Linked DNA regions of Schizosaccharomyces pombe. Changing the gene in region 2 together with the main gene of any one other region gives a genetic interaction. Each region holds a gene or a part of one and is shown on either strand. Other genes may lie near its edges.

Evidence for each region.
Region 1: mutations in laf1 (region 2) and dcr2 together harm fitness less than expected from each alone (positive genetic interaction), as found in Schizosaccharomyces pombe (one large-scale study listed by BioGRID).
Region 3: mutations in laf1 (region 2) and apq12 together harm fitness less than expected from each alone (positive genetic interaction), as found in Schizosaccharomyces pombe (one large-scale study listed by BioGRID).
Region 4: mutations in laf1 (region 2) and stc1 together harm fitness more than expected from each alone (negative genetic interaction), as found in Schizosaccharomyces pombe (one large-scale study listed by BioGRID).

Annotation. Positions count from the first base shown.
Region 1 is NC_003421.2:773,407-778,950, forward strand, and holds dcr2 (phosphoprotein phosphatase), read right to left. Parts: upstream 3,366-5,544; 5' UTR 3,165-3,365; coding exon 1,635-3,164; 3' UTR 1,384-1,634; downstream 1-1,383. Other genes in the region: tal1 (transaldolase), read left to right, coding at 92-1,060; Tf2-12 (retrotransposable element/transposon Tf2-type), read right to left, coding at 4,727-5,544.
Region 2 is NC_003424.3:5,249,252-5,254,219, forward strand, and holds laf1 (clr6 L-associated factor 1 Laf1), read right to left. Parts: upstream 2,984-4,968; 5' UTR 2,784-2,983; coding exon 1,890-2,783; 3' UTR 1,269-1,889; downstream 1-1,268. Other genes in the region: vtc2 (polyphosphate synthetase), read left to right, coding at 1-916; RFC-like checkpoint protein Rad17, read left to right, coding at 4,107-4,317, 4,361-4,464, 4,522-4,968. UniProt on the Schizosaccharomyces pombe protein: Component of the RPD3C(L) histone deacetylase complex (HDAC) responsible for the deacetylation of lysine residues on the N-terminal part of the core histones (H2A, H2B, H3 and H4).
Region 3 is NC_003423.3:446,787-450,441, forward strand, and holds apq12 (nuclear membrane organization protein Apq12), read left to right. Parts: upstream 1-2,147; coding exon 2,148-2,495; 3' UTR 2,496-2,612; downstream 2,613-3,655. Other genes in the region: thiamine-repressible acid phosphatase Pho4, read right to left, coding at 1-22; arg12 (argininosuccinate synthase), read right to left, coding at 2,985-3,655. UniProt on the Schizosaccharomyces pombe protein: Involved in the regulation of lipid homeostasis in the endoplasmic reticulum, thereby impacting nuclear pore complex biogenesis and localization, and nucleocytoplasmic mRNA transport.
Region 4 is NC_003423.3:3,690,110-3,694,234, forward strand, and holds stc1 (CLRC complex-Argonaute linker protein Stc1), read right to left. Parts: upstream 1,807-4,125; 5' UTR 1,740-1,806; coding exon 1,092-1,739; 3' UTR 899-1,091; downstream 1-898. Other genes in the region: mug30 (ubiquitin-protein ligase E3), read left to right, coding at 1-897; abz1 (para-aminobenzoate synthase), read left to right, coding at 2,454-4,125.

The DNA.
Region 1 (5,544 bases), on a different chromosome or scaffold from region 2:
AAAGGTATGTTTGTAGTGTTTTTTAGGAAAAACGAAGTTATTTGTCTGGAAAAAGTATTTACTAACGAGTTTTTGAGGTAGTTTTATCAAAATGTCTTCATTGGAACAATTAAAGGCCACTGGCACTGTTGTCGTCTCCGATACTGGAGATTTTGAATCGATCGCCAAATACAAACCCCAAGATGCCACCACAAACCCTTCTCTCATCTTGGCCGCTTCTAAGAAGCCCCAATATGCTGCTCTCGTCGACGCTGCTGTTGACTATGCCAAGGCAAAGGGTGGTTCCATCAACTCTCAAATTGAGATTGCTTTTGATCGTCTTTTGATCGAATTCGGTACCAAGATCCTCGCTATCGTCCCTGGCCGTGTCTCCACCGAAGTTGATGCTCGTTACTCTTTTGACACCCAAACTACTATCGAGAAGGCTCGTCACCTCATCAAGTTGTACGAAGCCGAGGGCATTGGTCGTGAGCGTGTTCTCATCAAGATTGCCTCCACCTATGAGGGTATCCAAGCTGCTAAGCAACTCGAGGAAGAGGGCATCCACTGCAACTTGACTCTCTTGTTCTCTTTTGTCCAAGCTGTTGCTTGCGCCGAGGCTAACGTTACCTTGATTTCTCCTTTCGTCGGTCGTATTCTCGATTTCTACAAGGCTAAGAATAACCGTGACTATACCGCTCAAGAAGACCCCGGTGTCGTCAGTGTCTCTAACATCTTCAACTACTACAAAAAATTCGGTTACAAGACCATTGTCATGGGTGCTTCTTTCCGTAACGTCGGTGAGATCAAGGAACTCGCTGGTGTTGACTTTTTGACCATCTCCCCCGCCCTTCTTGAGCAGCTCAACAACAGCACCGACGCTGTCCCCAAGAAGCTTGATGCCTCCAAGGCTTCCAGCCTCAATTTGGAGAAGGTTTCCTACCTTACTGATGAGCCCAAGTTCCGTTTCGACTTTAACAACGACGAAATGGCTGTAGTCAAGTTGTCCACTGGTATCGCTGCCTTTGCCAAGGATGCTGATACTCTTCGTACCATCTTGAAGGCTAAGCTTGAGGCCTAAATATTTTAGCTGCAACCAGTTAGGTATACCGATTTCTTTCATTTTGTTAGGAGTTTTTTAGCTTACTTTTTTTTACCCTTTTTACTGCTAGCATTCCGTATGTTGAGGTTTCCAGATTATGATTTTAAGGATGTTATGGCAGTCTTTTTTAACAAAACACAAAAAATAAATCGTACTTGCGAGCTATAAGTGTGACTAAGCCTTTAGGTTTGACGATTGTTATATAAATGAATATATATATTTTGTATATATGTATTGCGTATGTGGATGGACATATTTACTTGTATTTTGGAATAAAATATATGATGGATCTCAACTGCAAATGGTAGAATGTGGAATTAATTATTAGCAAACACATTTCAAAACTATTTAAGTATGTAATTGGAAGAGCGTAAAAATTTCGTTAATATTAATTAGTATATTACTTCCGTAACATAAGAAATTCACTTTGAAAAGAAGGATCCCATAAAATTGGGATGAAGATTGAATAGAAAATAAAAATATCGTAAAGATAGAAGAAAAAGAAAATTATATCCTGCTGTGAAATAAGTTATATAATGAGAGGAGTGATTGTTTAAACTAAAATAGTTTGTACGTCCAGCATCAACTTACGGTCTTCAGGAGGCCATTCCAAGCGTTTCCAAGTACGAACTGCGCGCTCAACCGGGTCCAACTCAAAAACCCTTGCACGACGAACGTAGCCACCATGTCCTCCATATCCGCCAAACCCAGCACCTCCAGCAAAGCAAAAGTATGTGTTATAATCTGGATGGATTCCACAGAAATCATTTACATGGTCATGTCCTGCAATAGCAAGAGGAATACGTAAACTTTTCAAAGCTTTCGCAGTATTTGGATCACAAATGGAATAAGAACAGGGCTCTCGAAATGCACCAACAAGGTCTTCAGTCTCGCAAAACTCCTTCAGAGGGATATGCAATACAGCCATTTGAATGGGCTCGTACTTGAAATCCGCAACTTTACTAGAAAGCCACTCCAGTTGATCCTCGGTAATAGCATCGTATCCAGGGCATAATCTTCGATTTGAAGTATCTCCCTTTGTATCTAAAACGTAAATGGCAAACTTTCGGGGACTATGTAAAACAAAGTTACCAACACCAGAGACATTTCCAATCAAACCCATACTACCAGGAATCTGACTCAAAATTTTGGCAAGCTCTTCCCTCGATAAATCTCCCAAATCATCGTGATTTCCGAAATTTACAGCAAATGGGACGTTGTAATCAACAAAAGGGGACACCGCTTTCATCAAAGAGCTTCTAGCGTCGCGTGACGTGTCGCCGTTAATTAAGTCCCCAGTCAAAAGGACAAAGTCCGGTTCCTCTAACTGTAATAATTCATTCACGAAAGCAGTAGTTTTTGCATCGGCCATACAATCCTCTGCAGTCTCATACGGATAAGGATCGCGACACGGTCTGTCAGAATTTGAATAGTGCAAATCAGAAAGCTGAAGAATCTTAATTGTCTTTTTTTCTTCGTCATCATAAGTAAGGGTTACGGATGAAAGCTCCTTTCTCTTAAGCGCTTCAATAGATGGCGTCGGAGGAGTTTCACAAGGTCTTTGCGTCAATAGGACCGGCTGTCCTAAATAAATAAAGTCATTTAGAACAGCAGACCAACCCTCTCGTAATTCAACAACATCCTCACCCAACAATGTATTAAATTCGCAAATATCACCATCCGTTCCATAACGAATTTGAATACCGTGCTTGTTACGCTTTTCCAGCTGTCGATCAACATATACCTGTTCAACTAAGACAGTCTCCCCAGGAATATACAGTGCTGGTCGTTTCACGTAAAGGTAGGCACGCTTCCAAGGAATTCGGGAACGGTACAGATTCCGACTAGTACGGGCCCATTTCCAAAATTCCAAAACGGGACGACAAAAGGGAGAAAAGGAAAAGCACTCGACCAGCCTTATATCTTCGATTGGAGTGTTCAGTGAGAAGGGTCCCGACTTTGAGTCAGTGATTTCAATGGTGTTGAGCGAATAATCAACAGTCAATAATGCTATGAAAGCCGCAACTATGAAGATTGCCCTTTTACGAAGGAAATGAATAATGTTTCTCTTTGGTAGCATCATTTTGCTTAGTCTTTGAACACGAGATTAGTAATTGTAGGAATGTATTTTTAACCGAAAAACGTCCCGCGAGAACTTTTTCTTTTACGGATCAAATATTTGACAAAGAAAAGCAATATTTATATAACAAATGTGCTTCAAATTAAAAGTTTTTATGAAAAACCTGTAGAATTGACTGAATTCATGAAAGCAAAAGGATTATGTGGATATTACGGTAATGTTTACATGGTAGAAGAAGGCTTTTCAAATTAAGATTCGAATGCGGAGCACAAGAACGAATCCGTTATCTATGCCTAGCGTAGTGCAGAATACTCACTTAAGAATCGCTTTCAAGAAACTTGCTTATCATAATACTTGAAGTTGGAAAGAGCTCGGTATGTGAAGAGATGAGCTTAACGTAGTTTAGCAGGTTCTCAGTTATTCTGAATGTCTATTAAAATTCAGCATTATAGCGACTTTTCTTGTGAGTGAAAACAAACGTTAAAGCTAGATGGCATTTCGGAAGAAGAAAATTGCATGGATAAGCTCTCAGATACTCATTGACATTAATATTTTCATCTCACTTATTTTTTAATTTCTAGCGGTGAGTGTTTATATGAGAGGTACGGCAGCTCTCAAAATCTTAACAACCATTTTGGATTATATTTTAAGCTCTAACTTTTTGTTAAGTATTATTTTCTGAGAAATTCTGCTTCATACTGTAGTGGTACGAGAAAACTCGCAAATGAAAACGAATATTTCAAGGTACTATAAATCTCGCTTAATTCAAGCTTAATTTGGCCGACATTTCACATGTTGTGGCCCATGAAACATGTGTCAATAGTTGTATAACTGTGTAAGGGTACTATTGCGTTAGTTTCTTACCTGATCTGAAAAGTTTTAAGCTGCCAGCAAGTCGATATATATAGAGGGTTTTGCGGATCTTGTTTTTTTCCGGCATAATTATTGTGCCGAACCACTAAGCCGAACCAAAGAGTAATTATCATAACGCAAACTCTTTCAAAATAAAGAACCCATTTATTCTTCAACTCAAAGTTCAAGCAGAATACCTTGAAGCTTGATAATTAACAAATTTCCAAGCTGAGACTCATTCTTCGTTTAACTAATCTCACATGATGTTTTCCTCATTATTTTGGTTTTGCATATTTTTTTGAAAACTCATTAAGTGTAAGCTACGCAGTTTGGTATCTGATTTAAGGATACGTAGAACTGCGGTGAGTTTTCCTTGTGATCTATTATATTACGATACACAGGTTGTATAAGTAGCAACTGAGTATAGGTATTGTATTAACTGGGTTATAATGTTACCTATCACTAATATAGCTCATAACTGAACTGAGGAACGAGGTTCAGCAGTAGCTCTATTTATAGTATTCAGATAATATTGATCTTAATAGATTATCATTAAGATCAATCTCCATATCGTATCATACATGGTACGATATATAATTAGAACATGTGACATATAGTGATACTCAACGTAGTGTATTATAGCGTAGTGTAGTATTGCTGACATTGCCCTCCCCAAGATTTTCTATGTAAATCTGAGGATAAGTCATATGTTCTCAGATATTTAGATTATTGTTTTTAATATAATCATTGACAATTGCTTTGTCCGCTTGTAGCGCTGTAGCTAATGTAGTCCATCCTGACATAATAGTACTCGGATTTAGATTCGAAATGTACTTGACATTTAAGTAGAGTACTTGTTCTCTGTTTTTATGTTCTAGGATATGAAGAATTGTTCCAATATCAGACTCATCAATGGTAGCGTAATTGAGTTCTGAATTATGTCGATACTTTTCTAGGTGAGAAACATGAAAAGTAGATGAAAACATGTGCTTGATTGAATCTGGAAGATCCAATTCATAGTTGTTTGGACCCGACTTCTGTAACACATAGAACGGTCCTGCAAAACTAGGTGCTAATTTATTGGATTTATGAAGAAAACCTGTTTTCGTTCTTTTGACCATAACTAGGTCTCCAGGTTGAAATTCTTCAATTTCTTGTATTTTCATATCGAAATACTTTTTCATCTTTATGTTGTTTGTATTCAAGTGTTCTTTAACTGTTTGAAATACTTGGATCGTTTCCTGAGAGTTTTCGTCAGTTTTGTCACTAAAGCTAGGTAACTCTAAAGGTGATAAAGCTGGTGAATAGCGATGTACTATCTCAAAAGGTGTCATTTGAGTTGCTGAATGTATCGCATTGTTGTAAGATTGTTGCACTAGGGATATATGATCTACCCATGTATTTGGATGTGTGCTACATACACATCTTAGTAATTTCTCCACAGTTTGGTTTGTACGCTCAGTTTGTCCATCAGTTTGTGGTCTGTATGGTAACGAAAATTTCATAACGAAATTATATTTATGTGCGAAAT
Region 2 (4,968 bases):
TTATAGTGTCCTAGAAATCCGTGAATGTGTTAGATATGATGAAGACGAACCTCTTTGGATCTCTGAATTGCGTAATTCTCATTTAATTTCTGAAATTGATGGTTTTTCGAAATATGAGCATGGTGTTGCAATTCTTTTTGAAAAATACGTATCTCTTTTACCAATGTGGGTATTTTCAATGGATCAAGATATTCGAAAAGATCTTCAAGAGGTGTACTCCCATCCCGAGGGATCTGCGGGCTCTCGAAATGTTTACATTAAACGTAGGAATCAAAGAGTTTTAAAGCAGAATATGACACCCGAACCTAGTCAACCCTCACCTTTGGTCAATCGTTTAAAGGCCAATGAAATGCACCCTGTTTCAGAAGAGCCCGAAGATAATAGAGAGGTGTATCGAAATGAGCACGGAGACCATTTCAACTTCAGAAGCATACCTGGTTTGCTGAAGCCATCTACTTATGGATCGTTTAAGCATCATGGTAAAACGTTTGTTACTCCACCCCATATCAAGAAACCAGAGATTCCGCTTAGAGTCAGTGGTCCGATTAAGGTTGAGGCCAAAGTTTGGCTTGCAAATGAGCGTACGTTTTTGAAGTGGCTTCATGTCGTGGTCTTGCTTGGTTCTCTTGCTCTTGCATTATATAATAGTGCTGGAGAAAGACTTGGTCAGGCTTTTGGAGTAGTTTATACTCTTTTAGCTATTTTCATTGGGTTCTATGCTTGGAAGCTTCATGCCAAGCGTTCTCAAATGATCAAGTCCCGCAGTCCTGCGCCAATGACTGATTATTGGGGCCCATTGATTGTAGGAACAGCTTTGGCTATTTCTCTTATTGTCAACATGTCATTTGCACTTAAGGATGCTGTTTATCAAAATCTCATTGAACCTGATCGTTTGCTTGTTAAATTGTTTACTTGAGAAGTTTCGATATCATTCAACATGGGATTTTTCCAACTTTTATTACACGTTGGATTTACTATTTAAATGCAATAAATTTTTAGAAAGCTAGAAGATAACATTTCAGTAAATTCTTGATTTAGATGCAATGTGAAGTTGAAAATTGCAATAAGATTGAAAACTTCATTTAGAGCAGGGCTCTTGGGTTATTATATTGGTTAATTGGTTTGGGGATATATGTTATCGGTTTTTACTAAAATTTGCACGGGTATTGCAAGTTTTTACGTGTCGATTTACTTTTTTTGCAAGGATTAAGAAAAGCTGGATTTGACCATATATTCATTACATTACAACACTGGGGTATATTAATACTGGGATATTAACGTCGGACATCCATTATAATTTCTATGGTTTAATTAATTTAATAGCAAAGAATAAATAATCAATTATTAATTATCCGCTAAGCATTGGATCTAATTGAGTAGAGTAAAATAACTAAAAACCCCTAAAATCCGTCTGATTAGGGAACTGATGGTTATCGGTTATTAGGTATAAAAATAACAATATCTACTGTAAATAGGAGAAACGAACGTTTTTAAAAGAGAGTTATTTCACATCTGTATTAATGAATTTTTTAATACAAATGCTGACTACATGATGCTTTTCATCTTTGGGAGGATAAAAAAACAAAAAGTGAACGAAGGAAGAAAAGAGGGACTTGAGGTATATACTACTGGTTATTGGCCAGATAAAACGATGGACACCGACTTCAAGACGAAATATCCAAAAAAAAAAAGAAAGGTTTTACCGAGATGCAAATGATTGTAAACAAAAAATTCAAAACACCTAGAAAAAAATAAATAATCCAACGAAAATGAAATCCGTGGTTTTTCGAAATTTTTAAATTTGATTATTTCCCTAACCCGCCAAAAGAGAAAAAGAGAGAAAAAATCTATTTTTTGAAAGGCCAGCAGGATTATGAACGATTCGCGAATTAGTCGTCAAAGAAACCTTCATCGTGAAAAGCTTTCCAAAGACGACTAGCTTTGTTCACATCGACACGACTAGCACGTTGAGCATCTGTTTTCCTAAAGCTTAGGCCTTGAGTACGGCGATTGTGCCACTCAGCAAAGATTCTACGCTTATTGTCAAGATAAACGAGACAAGGCAATCGAAGTGTTGCAGCCAACTGTAGCTCAGCAGGATGTAAAAGGTGTCTATTCTCATCATTGGAAAGATCAAGGGGAGGGCCCTTCCATTCGCTACGAAGGGGGCGAGGATGAGAACGTTTATCCAAAACAGACATATCAGGAGAATAATCAGGCAATAGCTCATATGGTGTATTGGCGACATCAATGGCCTGGGTGTTGGAGGAAAACTCCCTACTGGACTGCTTGAAACGCGTATTATGTTGAGGCATTCCAGGATGAACATCTCCTTTTGAATGCGGAGTTGAATGTCCCGAGTCCGGCGTATCAGGAGAACCTCTTTTACGGGTATTAGAAGCGTGCACATCCAGAAACGAGCTGGGTTGCCTTCTTGGACGTTTGGCAGCTGGAGTCGAAAACCTGTATGCTGGAGAATGACGCTGAAGCCATTGCCTTTCTCGGCGAAGCCAAATTTTAGGTGAATCTCGGTACAGATCGTAAACCTTGGAATGCAGTTGCGCAACAGGTGTTGCTGTCGGCTTTGGTTCCACAATAGAATCTTTTGGAGATTCAGGTATTGTAGAACACTTAGGTACATCAACAGTACTTGCAACTTTGTCATTTGGAATGGGAGAAGGCGGCGGAGATATTAGGTACTGATATGCCTTAATGGCTGCCGCACATGTGTCCTTCTCCACATTTCTAGGGATCGAATAAACAAGCGTTTGACTCGATTTCATCTTACCTTTTTCCTTGATAAAGTCGAGCAAGCTGTCGATAACCTTTTCAATTAAATCAAGTAGACTCTGAAATTACTCCAAATTGTTGTTTTTATGTACAATTCTTTTATGCAAAAGTCAAAAGAGCGACCGACTTTAGATGAAATTTACAGCCAACAGCAATTCCAAGTTTCACCTTATGCCAAACGATTGTTGGTGTTAGTAAAATCCCAAGGATGGATGGAACACATGTCGAAACCGGTAGGTAGGGTTAGGTTGTCAAAAAAACATGTTACTTGAATGGTAAATACAAAATGGAAAATAAATGCCATTTTGAAGAAAAAAATTATTTGCCATATTAATCAAGTGGGTTTCCCAAGTTTTTCTTTGCTCACAAGGGTTTCTGTTTCCAGTATTATGCGAAAAATCAATTCCAAAAAGGAAATACATCCCATCAAATATAATTAAGCCAAGCGAAATACTGATGGATAGGGGATTAAAAGTACCACATTAGATGTATGGGTATGAACTTTCTGTAGTGTTGGTTGATTTCTATTCTTGCTCATTTCCCAATGGAGTTCATATCGGTTCTTAAAGAGTTAGAGCTCGGCTAACTATGTTTATCAACAAAATAGGGAGTTTTGATGCAGCAACATTGGATTATTAGACTGCTTCTAATGAAACAATTCCTCCTTTGGTTTCCAGTGTAATGTCGCAATCCAAATCAAGGTTAAATATACTCATTACTATATTCTTAATATTTACAGCTTTGCCTTTCCAGCTGCTAGTTCCTAATGCACTCATATACGACATAATTGAAAATGCCAATTGTTTGATTTTATAAATGAAGAGAAATACATTTCTGTGTCCATTAGAGTAATTTCTCAATTGAAATATATCACTATTTTACTTGTTTATTTATTCATTCTTTATCGTTCAGATGTTCATTAATTAAAAAGCTAACTTTTTTATTGATGATCATTGTTTACAGTATGAGAAAAAAAAGTAAATTTGTAATAAATACTTTCGCAATATATCTTACAATAAGAGAAATGTACAAATAAATGATTTATAAATAAATTATACACATGTCTTTTTTACTCTTCTTTATAGGAAGCAGTTTCAGAGTACTTAAGAAACCTACTCACTTATTCTCTTCCATATACAGTACTTGTATATTTTCACTAGTTCACACATTTACTTGTCAGCAGTAAATTAATCAATTCACTCGTTTTTTTGTGCTGTTAAAATTTTGTGAACTATTAATATATATTTTATCTAATGATTTACAAAGTCTCTACCTTTAGCTTCCTATTTCTTTGTTGAATAAAACATATATCTGGCATGAGGCGACAGTTGTCGTTTCATGAATCTACAAAGAGATCATTAAAAAAGAAGAAAATAAGAAAGATTGAAAAACCTTCTCTAGTTTCAAAAACTTCACGCGACAAAAATGCTTCGATAACCGATATTCATGAAGAAGATATTGAAGCCTTTTCTGATGAAGAAAACAAAATTGTTCATCTCAATAATTTAAAAGAAGATCGATTTCAACGTAAGAAAATTTAAAAAGGTTCAAAAATTAACGGTGCGCATAGTTTGGTTTGAAAAATACATTCCTCAAAAAGCGGCTGATCTTGCCGTGCATAAAAGCAAAATAAGTGCAATTAAGCAATGGATGTTAACGGATTCTTTAGAAAGTGTATGTTAAATCTCCCCTAATTCTCTCAAAAATATTTCTTGGCTAACAAAATCATAGAGGTTACTTTTGATCTGTGGTCCTTCTGGTTGTGGAAAGAGTACCGCAGTTCAGGTCTTGGCTAAAGAATTAGGTTATAGTCTCATAGAATGGCTAAACCCTATGAACCTAAAAGAGCCTTCAAACCAAGAATCAGATACACTTTCGCTCACGGAAAAGTTTAGTAGATTTATGTCTTTATGCGAAACTTATCCAGAGTTAGAGCTTATGGATTCAAATAATATTCAAAAGCGTGGAAAAAATGCACAAGGAAAGAAAAAGTTTATTTTTTTGGATGAAATTCCTCACCTTTCTAAATTCAATGGCTCTCTTGATGCTTTTCGTAATGTCATTCGCACCGCATTGACATCGCGAGGCGCCTTTTCCATCATCATGGTTCTTACAGAAATACAGTTAAACAACTTGGAAGGTATTAATAGTCAAGATCGAAATTCCTTTAATAGCGTG
Region 3 (3,655 bases), on a different chromosome or scaffold from region 2:
GAGAAATACCACTTAACTTCATCGAGAAAAAACAATGAATTTATGTAACCCAAGCAGACCCAATAAAACCACAAGAAAGAAATTTACTGTGTATGAATCAACCAACGACCAGCGATTCAATAGCAAAAAAAATAACGATCGAATATTTAAAAGCGGGTTGAAACGAACGGTAGTCTATTCAATCAACGAACTTTGATTATTTGAAGTAGGAAAAGTCTAAAATAAACAGTCAAAAGATGACTATTCTAAGCGCAAGAAGCAGCAGATATTTATATACAATCAATCCGGATATCTGCTAACACTAAGCACCCCGGCTACCACCAAACCAAAGTCTGATTTCGGCACGACTACATTGGAATTAAAAAAAATGAATGAAGTTGCAAACCTGGTGTAGTTCGCTATTAGACTTTAAGATTTTGGACCCACAATTGTTAACTGAAATAACGATGCAAATTACGGACAAAGTGTTACAGTAATATTATGCGATTAATAATACAACGGTGTAATATAATGATATTATTATTACTGAACTTACAAAAATCTGATATTCCAATACTTAATAATTTAATAGAACTAAAGAACGAAGTTTCAGTTGGAAATGATTTTGCAGTCTTTTTGTTTTATATAAATTTATATTATATAATAGCAATGCCTACTCTCTGTGAAATGGAATTATAAATGATAATGTAATACAAAATGAATACTATTGTGTAAAGATGTGCAAACATTGTACGAGCTGCTACATAATATTGCATAATAAAGATATTTTTACATGTATATCACTAATAAGAAGTTGGGCATTGAAGAGTATTAGTCTGCTATCTTTGCAAATTGCTTCTAATATGTATATAAATAGCTTGGGAGAAAATTATTATTAATATTTAGTCTTTAGTAAGATCCAACAATTTAATTTATTAGAGCTACTTGTTTCATGCCGTTCTTAAATGTCCAGAAAAAAGATTTATTCATTCCAATAGAATAAATTAATATAATAAACAAGCATTCCCGCTATTCCAGCGTTAATATAATGGGTTTCATATGCATATTCAAAATGTATATAAAGGGTATACTAGCCACATTGTCATGTGCAGCCCTCGCTTAAGTAATAGCTTAAAACAACTGTGGGGTTATTGAAGAAATGAAAATGTTAAAAACGTAAAAGTTGTTTGTTTGTACGGTTGGACCCTCTAAACACTTTTTTCTATTCTGACATTTAATTAATTTTATGATGAAGATTTTTTTTATGTTCAGTAAGTAAAGCGATGCCTTATAACAATATTACAATGGTAATGGTATAAATAAAGATAAAAATTTTATAGCAATTGCAAGAATGAGTACTTTTGAAAACTCGGTTATTGGAGAATCAAGCTGAAGTGGTTGAAGCGAGCTAGTAATAACTCACTTTAAAGCATTTACCAATTGAAGTCTCACAAGCCTTTTGATATTTCGAAAAGGAAGGAATTATGCTAGGCACTCAGCATAAAAAGAACCATTTTATATGATAAAGGGCAAAGGGAAATTAATTTTCTCTCTATAATAGTAAGTATACTGTTGGATATTTATTCCAAAGGAAATATAGGCGGTGAATTCTACTTTTATCTTCTGATCTCTACGCTTTTATTATCAACCGTAAGAGTCTTTCTTTTATAGTAATAACAATCCAGTTAAAAAGGGATAAAAATACTTATCTTCCTTTTTATATATTACTAATCCTAAAAGAGCTTAGAAATAAGCAATTTTTTATTAACTAGTTCTTTATAAAAGCATATTTATAGAGAAAAGCATTTCATGAAATTATGCTATGTACAGCGAAATACGAAAATAAAATACCTCCTTTGACTAGAACTGTAAGCAACAAAGAGTAAACAATAAAAGCTTGTAGTCATTAGCAAATTAGATTTTTTTATCAGTAGTCTCGATATTAGATGAGATATGTTGACATAATCTGTTTGCCAGTTCTTTCTTTAAATGAGTTTTGTTTATAGAACCGTTTATTTCAACTCATCTTCCAATTTTTATTTTAACATATTTTATTAGCAAATGTAATCGTTGGTAAAATTCGCCTACAACGTCAACATTCAGTCAAAAAGCACACCTAACTACTCCCATCTCTATTACTCCCCGTTCATATTTTAACTTTTTAGAAAATGTCTTTGACATCCGTTTTATGGAATTTCGTCGCCAAACTTGCTGTGGACCATGGATTAAATACCAATCCTGATCAAGTCTTTCAAACCGTTGAAAATGTAGGCAAAAGTTTCGAAAAATATGAAACGTCTTTCCTAAAATCATTGTTCAATGGAAATCTAGGATTGAGCTTGCCCTCAGCTATTAATATCTTGACTTTGATTATAGTGTTATACTTCTCTTTGGTCATTGTAAATAAGACTACCAGTATTGCCCTTGCCCTCTTCAAAACACTTGCTGTAATTTCTTTTTTCTTACTAATCGGTTGTCTCTTTGCTTACTGGTTTATCAATAACGGATCTTTTTGAACATTGACTAGCAGCGTTATCTTCTTTGTTTTTTCAGATTACCGAGTACAAAGTGTTATGGATATGCTTTAAAAAATTTTATTTTAGTAATATATTTTTCATCTTTTTTGTTCCTCATTTCATTTATCATTCAAGATGGTTTCGACATTATTCTTGATTTTAGGACTGTATACGAAGAATGGCTAAAGGCCTGTAAAATATTTTTTAAATTAAAAGCATAGTATTGAGTACATTAAACATCTTAACAATTTGCGTTTGCAATATAAAACTTCAATTTCAATTAGTTACAGTTTTCAGAATTTATTTTTTTTTTGCAACAAAAATATTCAATTGACTTATCAGTGATATGAACGGAGTAATTCTATGAAATGTGAATATGAAAAGGAAGCCATCTCAAATAATACTTCTTATTTGCACAGCAGAAATTTGATTATTGCTTGGCTCAAGTACATGGTGAGTATGACATTATTATTGAGAACGACCTGGCATTTACATCCAATGTTTTCCTTCATCAGAGTTACGCAAACGCATAGACTCGATTTGGATGAAACCAGAGGTCCATGTAGGGTCAAATCCACCAAGCTCATCCATAGATGACAATTTCTCGTCATAAAGATGAGCAGTATCAGATTTACGACCGAGGACAGTGACATTGCCCTTGTAGACAGAAAGTTTAACTACACCGTTTACTACCTCTTGAGAAACGTTGTTAGCTGCTAAAAGCATACGAGTGCAGGGAGAGAAAAATTGTCCATTGTACAAAATTTTAGCGAGATTGAAAGTAACGAATTGGTCACGGAGAGCACGAACTTCACGTTCCATTGTTAAACCTTCCAAGTCCATATGAGCAGTACGCAAAATGGTTAAGCCAGGAGTTTCGTAACAACCACGACTCTTCAAACCAGAGAAACGGTTTTCAACAATATCGATACGACCAACACCGTTACGACGAGCGATAGCGTTCAATTGGTAGAAGATGGAAACGACTCCGCTAAAGGTACCATCCTTGCACTCTAATTTGGTGGGAGCACCCTTTTCAAAGTGAATGCTGAGCTCTTCAACCTCATCAGGAGCGTCTTTGGGATCAACGGTGAGCTTCCACATGTCCTTGGGAGGAGTCATACTGGGATCCTCGAGGATTCCAGCTTCATACGAGCAAT
Region 4 (4,125 bases), on a different chromosome or scaffold from region 2:
TATTCACACAGGTCGAAAGAAATTGATTACTATCATATGTCAGGTATATTGATGGGAATTGCAATCCACAATTCAATAAATTTGGATGTACAGATGCCCAGAGCTTTCTATAAAAAACTTTTACAGTTACCTCTAAGTTTCAATGACTTGGATGATTTTCAGCCTAGTCTATATCGAGGATTAAAAGAGCTTTTACTATTTGAAGGAGATGTAAAAAATACTTACGGTCTTAATTTTACAATTAATCTCAAAGCTGTCGAGGGCTTTCGCACTGTTGAGTTGAAAGAAGGAGGCTCTGAATTGAGTGTTGATAATGAGAACAGAAAAGAATATGTTTTGAGGTATGTAGATTATCTCTTAAATACTACTGTAAAAAAACAATTTTCTGCTTTTTTCGATGGCTTTATGAAAGTATGTGGAGGTAACGCCATATCGTTGTTTCAAGACAATGAAATCAGCAAGTTGATCAGAGGAAGTGAAGAAGTTATTGACTGGGAGCTACTCAAAAATGTCTGCGTTTATGATTTTTATGACCAAAATGCGATTTCAAATTCTATATCTGAAAGTGAACCAAGTATGACTGCATCTAAATATCTCTGCCACTCTTTCGTATCAAAAAGAAAAATAATACTTTGGTTTTGGGATTTGATATCACACTATTCGCTAAAAATGCAAAAACTTTTTCTCATTTTCGTCACAGGAAGCGATCGCATTCCCGCTACTGGGGCACATAATTTTCAATTAAGAATCTCAGTTCTCGGACCTGACAGTGATCAACTTCCTATCTCTCATACTTGCTTCAATCACTTATGTATTTGGGAATACTCCAGTAGGGAAAAGTTAAAAAAAAAATTAGACACGGCGTTGCTTGAAACTAATGGGTTCAATATACGCTAGTGTTTACATCAGGGTTCGCAATTCCTTACCTTTTACTACTATATACATATATCTATTTATTTAAGATCTAAATTAAATTCAACATATTTTAAGGTCTACATTAGCACTAATGGACCTTTATAATTTATCATATAAAATGGGATCGTAAGCAAATCTTTACATAATTCAAATAAGGATGAATATAAAACGTGTCTCTATACAATTTGTTTTTCTTTTTTGAATTGCTGAAATATCTCTTCCATCCTGTCTTCATCAGAGTCATCATCATCATATTCTTCAGCTGAATTGCTTTCCTGTTGCCCCTTGCTTTCAGTTCGCTCTTCGTCAGTATTATCAGAAACATCGTCAGCGTATTCTGAGTTTATGGTTTGTTTATCATGAATGTAGATATCATCGTCTAAGTCAGAATCATCACCTATGAAAGGATCAACGAACTTATCAGATTCCAAATTATCATCACCGTCGTTCCTTTGTGAATGTACACATATCTGACATCGTGGATCCAGGACATGTCTTTGTGCCTTAGAGAATTCATTAATGCCCTTAGTTTGTTGACAAGCGGTACACCAAATTGAATCATGCTGTTTGGGCTGGCAGGTACGACATATCACTTTTGGGTCTGAAACGCTAACCGTTCTCCCACGAACAAATGTAAACGTTTTGCTCCATTGAGTTTTGCTGTAAGAGTCTATCCCTTTAACCTTTCTGCATCTCATACACATAATTAAACAATCATTATCATTTTTCCCTTTTGAATTCAATGTACCCCGGTATTTTTTAGCATGTAGTTTGCAATCCTTCGGATGCTTTTTAATTTTATATTTTCGACTCTTAAAATCCATATTTTTTTATTATTATTAATATGGTAACAATACTCTTATAAATGAATATATGTACTGAAATAATTTTAATTAGCTGCTGACGTTAGAAGCATTAAGTAGACAATACCTTTAATGAACAAAATGTGATAGCCTTGACAACCAAATAGAAGAAACATACAGGCTTAATCAGGATTTAGAAAAAAAAAACAGTAATACAAGCCGTCCTATCAATTGTCATTGAGATCTTTACGCTGATCAGGCTGTAAATGCATTAATATAAAATTTACTACCGTTCGGTTCGATTAATAGGTGAATCAATGATATTAAAGCAAAAAAGAATACATATATTTGTTGATTGCTTCATGTTCTATTGACAATGAAAATTGCACATATTCAAAGGGTTGTTTTCAAAATAAATACTGCTTCCCATTCTATTATTCTCGCCTTCAAGTTTTTGATTGCGAATTATTCTTTGAAAATAAACGGAATAATAAAACTTTAGATAGCCTACACTTTTCCTACCTTAAATGGAATTGTATGATTTGTAAAATCCCGAAGAATGTCAGAAGCTTCTAAACAAATTGGAAACTGGAATTTAATTTGCGCACTTCCTACTCCTGCTACTTTGTAAAAGTTAAAACCTCTTAATACCAGAGTTCTCTTTTCAATCATATCGTTAAAAAATTAATGTTTCTTGAGTAAATCTAAGGTCGTTTTAGCTGATTAGTATCTATCATGAGTGAAATTTCAAACCGTTTACAAATTTTATTAATTGATTGCTATGACTCATACACTTTTAACCTTTATGACTTACTTTACAAAGCAAGTGAAAATGCCTGTGTTATTGTTGTTCATTGGGATAAAATGAGTCCTGATTTATGGGAAGACATACTTCAATTTGATGCCATTGTCGTAGGACCGGGCCCTGGACATCCTGCCGAATATTCTTCTATTTTGAATCGTATTTGGCAATTAAATATCCCAGTAATGGGCATTTGTTTGGGGTTTCAGTCATTAGCTTTATACCACGGTGCCACTATAGAAAGAATGCCTAATCTTCCTTGGCATGGCCGTGTGTCATCTGTAACTACTTCAAAAACTTTCATTTTTGATGGAATTTCAGCGGTTAAAGGAATGCGTTACCACAGTTTGTACGCGAACAAAATTCCCATCGATTCTTTACAAATATTAGCTCAATCGGATGAAGATAACATAGTTATGTCTATTAAGGCTACAAAGTTTCCACATTTTGGAATACTTTATCATCCTGAAAGCGTTGGGTCATCAAAATCTTTGAAAATTTTCAAAAATTTCCTTTCTCTAGCAGATACTCCTAATATACAATGTGTCAATTCCTTTTCAAAATCAGCAAATGGTTTCTCGCATAATCTTAATCGGTATGATATTTCTCCGGCTGCATTCATTCTTAAAAGTGGTTCTCCCTCTCTTCAAATTCACAGTGTTGAAATCCCTTGGGTTGAACCACTAGCGTTAGCTGATTGTATTCAAAAAAGCGGGAATCCAATTTGCTTTTTAGATTCAGCGAAAAAACCTGGGAGATATTCTATACTTGGAATTTTAACAGGTCCTTTGGCACGAATTATACATTACGAGAAAGCAACGAATACTACTGAGATTAGAATTTGCAAGGATAATAGCTTTGTCCGTATAAACAACGATTTGTGGTCCACAGTGGCTGATTTCATGAATCAACATAAAGCAATTAAGCCAGATACCAATTTGCCATTTTACGGCGGAATTATGGGTATCATTGGTTACGAATGTAGTGATTTATCTACAAAGTCTGTTTCAAATGCCTCTTTTCCTTTGGACTTCCAACAAACCACAGTTGATGCCGAACTTGCTTTTGTTGATCGATCCTTTGTGTTCGACTTGGAGATTAAAAAATTATTCGTTCAGACTCTTACTCCTTTAAATGAGACTTGTTCTGAGTGGTGGGGCGAATTGTTAGCTTCCACTTGTAACACAAAGCTGGATAACCTATCTTGCTTACATAGTTTCGATGGGAAGCAAAATTTTGGCCTGGTTCAAAGTTTTCCAAAAAAGGAGGTATACTGTGAATCTGTGAAAGCCTGCCAAGAACATCTCTTGGCCGGTGATTCTTATGAAATGTGCTTAACGGATACGACATTTGTTTCGGCACCTCCAGAGCTTTCTGATTTTGAGATGTATATGCGCGCAAGGTCTTTAAATCCTGCTACGTTTGCAGGTTTTGTAAGGTTGAACCATTTTACTCTACTCTGTTGTTCTCCAGAAAGATTCTTACAATTTCGAGACGATCGTTGCCTATTTTCACCCATAAAAGGAACTTTAAAAAGAGAGGGACACATGTCTTTGGAGGAAGCAAGAAAGAAGCTATTAAATGAAAAAGATATGGGGGAATTGA